2 linked regions of the Macaca fascicularis genome follow. Each later gene encodes a partner of the first gene's protein in a complex. Links are inferred from orthologs where the notes say so. Each region holds a gene or a part of one and is shown in the gene's direction. Other genes may lie near its edges.

What was found. Proteins that work in one complex are often made in the same cells at the same time.
Region 2: the proteins of TAPBPL (region 1) and major histocompatibility complex class I-related gene protein are in contact, whole or in part, in an NMR structure (PDB 7RNO), measured with the Homo sapiens proteins. The link is inferred for Macaca fascicularis from reciprocal best matches to the Homo sapiens genes TAPBPL and MR1. Residues at the interface, in NP_060479.3 of Homo sapiens: His47, Arg48, Gly49, Ala50, Ala52, Ser53, Ser54, Leu129, Met131, Thr132, Glu133, Thr135, Arg228, Gln230, Lys232, Gly233, Arg234, Gly235, Thr280, Ile282, Gln293, Ile295, Gln297, Arg307, Leu308, Ser309, Ile320, Cys321, Asp322, Leu355; in NP_001372090.1 of Homo sapiens: Arg101, Arg104, His105, Asn107, Thr129, Gly130, Phe131, Leu132, Gln133, Ile143, Phe144, Asn145, Asp147, Thr148, Leu152, Ala153, Val154, His159, Thr160, Lys162, Gln163, Ala164, Ala167, Asn168, Gln169, His170, Thr213, Phe214, Pro215, Asp248.

Annotation. Positions count from the first base shown.
Region 1 is NC_088385.1:7,380,158-7,383,813, forward strand, and holds part of TAPBPL (tapasin-related protein), read left to right. Parts: intron 1-2,758; coding exon 2,759-3,097; intron 3,098-3,656. UniProt on the Homo sapiens protein: Component of the antigen processing and presentation pathway, which binds to MHC class I coupled with beta2-microglobulin/B2M. Association between TAPBPR and MHC class I occurs in the absence of a functional peptide-loading complex (PLC).
Region 2 is NC_088375.1:38,540,561-38,543,006, forward strand, and holds part of major histocompatibility complex class I-related gene protein, read left to right. Parts: intron 1-396; coding exon 397-672; intron 673-1,611; coding exon 1,612-1,716; intron 1,717-2,446. UniProt on the Homo sapiens protein: Antigen-presenting molecule specialized in displaying microbial pyrimidine-based metabolites to alpha-beta T cell receptors (TCR) on innate-type mucosal-associated invariant T (MAIT) cells.

The DNA of each region.
Region 1 (3,656 bases):
CTCTAACCTCTCTGTGGTCCAACCTAAATCTCATCTGCCACATTAGAAAGAAAAGGTCCTCGCAGCTGTCCAGTGTCTACCACACTCCTGGCATGGGTAGATATTTCTCTTTTTATTCCAAACCTACAAAAAAAGGTGAAATTATAATATAATGAACACCTACATATCCTACACCTAGATCCACCAATTGTCACCAATTTGCCACATTCTCTCTCCCCCTGACTCCCCGTGTGTGTATATGTGTATGTGTGTATTTTCCTCTGAACTGAGAGTAAGTTGCAGAAGGCAACACTTGAACCCCAAATGCTCCCATCCATAGCATGTATTAGTTTACAGCGAAGGACAAGGACGTAATCCTTCATAGTTACAAAACCATCATGTCAGAAACAAACCAAAGTGGGGGAGTAGTCTACCCATGGTGCAGGCAATAAGGGAGTGCAGAGTGTAAAATATTTCAGAACAATAATAAAATTGGCTAAAAGTCAGATGGCTTTATAGTCTCACCATCTCCTGACATTGACAATTCTGAATATTATCAGTGATAAAATACTCCTCCCTGCCAGGGCAGACTGTCCCTATCCCCCGACACCACTGCCTAGTATGCCACGGATCTTCATCCTTTTAGATACTTTTTAATTGATACAATGATAGTCTCAACTATAAAGTTCAGGGCATGGTGATGCACACCTGTAGTCCAGCTACTCAGGAGGCTGAGGCAGGACAATTGCTTGAGCCCAGGAGTTTGAGTCCTGCCTGGGCAACATAGCGAGATCCTGTCTCTCTCTCTCTCTCTCTCTTTTTTTTTTTTTTTTAACAGAGTCTCATTCTGTCTCCCAGGCTGGAGTGCAGTGGCGCGATCTCGGCTCACTGCAACCTCTGCCTCCCAGGTTCAAGTGATTCTTGTGCCTCAGTCTCCCAAGTAGCTAGGATTACAGACGCACACCACTACACCAGCTAATTTTTGTATTTTTAGTAGAGATGGGTTTCACCATATTGGCCAGGCTGGTCTTGAACTCCTAATCTCAGGTGATCCACCCACCTCGGCCTTCCAAAGTGTTGGGATTACAGGCGTGAGCCACTGTGCCCAGCCTGAGACCCTTCTCTTAAAAAAATAATTAAAGGCCGGGCGCGGTGGCTCAAGCCTGTAATCCCAGCACTTTGGGAGGCCGAGGCGGGCGGATCACGAGGTCAGGAGATCGAGACCATCCTGGCTAACATGGGGAAACCCCGTCTCTACTAAAAAAATACAAAAAACTAGCTGGGCGAGGTGGCGGGCACCTGTAGTCCCAGCTACTCGGGAGGCTGAGGCAGGAGAATGGCGTAAACCCAGGAGGCGGAGCTTGCAGTGAGCTGAGATCCGGCCACTGCACTCCAGCCCGGGTGACAGAGCGAGACTCCGTCTCAAAAAAAAAAAAAAAAAAAAAAAAAAAAAATTAATAATAATAATAATTAAATGTCTCCAAATTCAAATTTCTCCACTTGTCCCAATATGTTTTTTTACTGCTTTCTTTTTCTAAGTACACAATTCAAACAAGAATCATGCAGTGCATTTAGTTGTGCTGTTCCCTATTTTAATCTAGAACATCTTTCACAGAATTGACATTTTTGAAGGGTCCAGGCTAGTGGTCTTGTAGAGTATCCCACCATTTAGATTTGTCTGATTGTTTTCCTCATGACTGGATTTAGGTTAAGCATGTTTGGCACAGATACTACTACCACATGTTTTTTTTTTTTTTTTAATCGAGATGGAGTTTCGCTTATTGCCCAGGCAGGAGTGCAATGGCTCGATCTTGGCTCACCGCAACCTCCACCTCCTGGGTTCAAGTGATTCTCCTGCCTGAGCCGCCCAAGTAGCTGGGATTACATGCATGTGCCACCACACCCAGCTAATTTTTGTATTATTAGTAGATACGGTGTTTCTCTATGTTGGTAAGGTTGTTCTGGAACTCCTGGCCTTAGGTGATCCACCCACCTCAGCTTCCTAATAACTCATACTTTTTTTTTTTTTTACATTTTTTTGAGATGGAGTTTCACTCTTGTCACCCAGGCTGGAATGCAATGGTGCAATCTCGGCTCACTGCAACCTCCACCTCCCAGATTCAAGCAATTCTCCTGCCTCAGCCTCTTGAGTAGCTGAAATTACAGGCACCTGCCATGATGCCCGGCTAATTTTTGTATTTTTAGTAGAGACAGGGTTTTACCATGTTGGCCAGGCTGGTCTCAAACTCCTGACCTCAGGTGATCCACCCACCTTGGCCTCCCAAAGTGCTGGGATTACAGGCGTGAGCCACCGCGCCCAGCCACCGCGTGCTTTTTAAACTCTTGTTCCTAGTCTTCACAGCATCCTTGCTTAAGTAGGTGAGCTTGGTAACACCAAGTGACTTGTCAAAGGTCACAGAGCCAGTAAGTGGAACACCAGGGTTTCAGAGCTTTTTCTGCTACTCTAGTAGTACTTACCTGAAGATTGATGGTAACTCTTAATTTTGTATGTGTATTTTTCCTGGTGAGAGATCTATAGCTTTCACTAAATTATCCTAGGGTAAGTGATCCCAAAATGGTGATGGCCATCATGCGCACCATGCTGCCTTTCCAGAGCCCCATTTCTTTGTGGTTCCGTGTGATGGAAAATAAGCTCATCTGGCCTGTCAGGCACGGAAGAAGAGGCAGGTGTATGCCACACAACATGCCCACAGCTTGGAGATCAGGTGACCTCAAGGAGGAAGTAGCCCACAAATCACCCCTGTTTTCCTCTTCACAGTGGAGTTCCAGGTGACGACACAGACCCAATCCCTGACCTTCCTGCTGGGGTCCTCAGCCTCCTTGGACTGTGGCTTCTCCATGGCACCAGGCTTGGACCTCATCAGTGTGGAGTGGCGGCTGCAGCACAAGGGCAGGGGTCAGCTGGTGTACAGCTGGACCACAGGGCAGGGGCAGGCTGTGCGGAAGGGCGCTACACTGGAGCCTGAGCAGCTGGGCATGGCCAGGGATGCCTCCCTCACCCTGCCCAGCCTCACTATACAGGACGAGGGGACCTACGTTTGTCAGATCACCACCTCTCTGTACCGAACTCAGCAGATCATCCAGCTCAACATCCAAGGTGAGGCCAGGACATGGTTATCCCAGGGAAGGGGATATAACATGTCCACTGGGAGCGTTTTCAGACTGGGACCCAAATGCAAGAGTGCTTTCCTGAGAAGCAGGCTTCAGTCCCACCACTTACATGCCATCTTCACCGCGGAAGCACAGATGGCATCAGATAAGGAGTCCCGCTGGACTCCAGGATAATTCCACCAAGAGATTTCCAGTCCAGGATCCTGCTGCCCTGCTGTGGCCGGCTGTCTCCATCACCCCAGTCCTTTTGGACCACATCCTGAATGGCAGCAGCAGCAAACCAAGGCAGGGCAGTGGAAGCGGTTCTGACCATTATCACTGCTATCCTTTAAAATCTCTGGCGTAGAGGCTGGGCGCGGTGGCTCACGCCTATAATCCCAGCACTTTGGGAGGCCAAGGCAGGCAGATCACGAGGTCAGGAGTTTGACACCAGCCTGGTCAATATGGTGAAACTCCATCTCTACTAAAAATACAAAAAATAGCCAGGCGTGGTGGTGCACGCCTGTAGTCCCAGCTACTCAGGAGGCTGAGGCAGACGAATTGCT
Region 2 (2,446 bases), on another chromosome or scaffold:
GAAGAAGGAGTTCTAATCTCCAGTCCATTACTGACTTACTTATAGGGAACAGTCACTTACACGTTTTGTGGGTCAGTTTTCCTTGACACATAAAGGTATTTCAAAGGTTACTAGTAAACAACCCCAGCACACTTTCCAAACAGTCAAAGCTGTATGACTTTCCCCCCTTAGAGGATGGAGCATGGCCCAACTCCACATTCTTCACTACCTATCACCTTGCCATTGTGGCAGGTACACATAAATAAGTTTGTTGTTGATGAACCTGAGTTCTGGGTCATTCTTAGCTTTAGAAGTTTTCTGCAATAAAGAAAAATTAGGAAAGCCAGTTGCCAAGTTCTAATATTATACGCTTAGTACATAAGGCGCTTTGATTTAACTTTAGCTTCTTTTTCCTAGAGCCCCCACTGGTCAGAGTGAATCGCAAAGAAACTTTCCCAGGGGTTACAACTCTCTTCTGCAAAGCTTATAGCTTTTACCCCCCAGAAATTTACATGACATGGATGAAAAACGGCGAAGAAATTGTCCAAGAAATGGATTATGGAGACATTCTTCCCAGTGGGGATGGAACCTATCAGACGTGGGCATCAGTTGAGCTTGATCCTAAGAGCAGCAACCTTTACTCCTGCCATGTGGAGCACTGCGGTGTCCATATGGTTCTTCAGGTCCCCCAGGGTAAGGATGGGGATCGTGGCTGTCTGGGGAGAGCCTAGAGAAAGGGGAGAGCAGGAAGCCATGCTCCCTGCCAGGGAGGGGAGGGGAGGATAGATCACTGCCTCACCCAGTGTGCCTTAGAATGGGTCTTTTAAATAAGTGGTTCTCACACTTTTTAGAACCAGGACGCCTTCACACTATTAAAAAAATTATTGAGGACCCCAAAGAACTTTTGTTGATGTGGGTTTTATAGCTATTGCTATTTACCACATTACAAATTAAAGATTTAAAAATTAAACACGAACGGGAGCAGTGGCTCACACCTGTGATCCCAGCACTATGGGAGGCTGAGGCAGGTGGATCACTTTAGGTCAGGAGTTTGAGACCAGCCTGGCCAACATGGTGAAACCCCATCTTTACTAAAAATACAAAAATTAACCAGGCGTGGTGGTGCACACCTGTAATCCCAGCTACTCCGGAGGCTGAGGCAGGAGAATTGCTTGAACCTGGGAGGTGGAGATTGCAGTGAGCCGAGATCGCACCACTGTACTCCAGCCTGTGTGAAGGGAGCGAGACTCCATCTCAAAAAAAAAAAAAAAAAATCAAACACAATCCAGGCACAGTGGCTCACTCCTGGGCATGATGGCATGCACCTGTAGTCCCAGCTACTCAGGAGGCTAAGGTGGGAGGATCGCTTGAGCCCAGGAGGTCAAGGCTGCAGTGAGCTGTAATGGCACCACTGCACTTCCACCTGAACGACAGAGTGAGACCCTGTCTCAAAAAAAAAAAAAAATTAACACAAGAAAACACAAGCACATATTCCATTAGCAGTCAGATTGATGAGTGAGAAGCAACAGTAAGGAAAATGGTGTTGGGTTTCCTGATGATCACAGGGACAAAAGTCCCAGAAAGTTAACACAGAAGGGACTTGTGAATTTTTTCTTATTTGCTTGCTTTCAGAATCAGAAACCATCCCTCTCGTAATGAAAGCTGTCTCTGGGTCCATTATCCTTGTCATTGTGCTGGCTGGAGTTGGTGTTCTAGTCTGGAGAAGAAGGCCCCGAGGTGAGAGGCACATGGAAGGGACGCAGGGGACTGCAGACTCTCCTGCGCCTCTCCAGAGTTTTATTTTCTGCACCTGCTGCTCCATGCTCCATTCAGAAATGGCTTGGCTGTCAGGCTGGGATCACAGAAGGATCCGGGACAACCCTCCCGCCACATAGGGGACACAAAGCATGGATAAAGCTTGCAGGGAGAGTGGTCTCTTTTCATAGGTGATGCCTGACATCAACAAAATAGTACAACATCTGTCCAGGGGAACTGCCCCCTAGAAGTTGGGTCAGAGAAGATATGGGGATCCTGATTTGTCTTTTTCCAAACCATCTTTTTATTATTAATTACTATTGACTTCTGAGGCAGTGCCCTTTGTTTCAAGACTTCAGTCAGTTTTCCCATTTTGACCACCATTCTTTCATCCCAAGCATATGAAAGTCCTTTTCCTTGTAAATTCATTTTTCAAAACATTAAATGTGTAAGAGTAGATACCTTCAGATAATGGGACTTAGAGTAAGGAAAAGAGGAGGAGAAGTAGGAGGTATATAGGCTCTTGATAATGTGGAATAACATAAATTCATTCAATAAGTATACATTATTGACCTACTGTGCTCCAGGCACTGTACTGGTTGCTGGGATATAACAATGAACAAGACAGACAGGATCCGTGTTGTCATAGAGCTTACAACAGAGCCTGGTAAGGTTATCTCCTGCCTCTGGCTTCACTAATTGCTCAGATTGA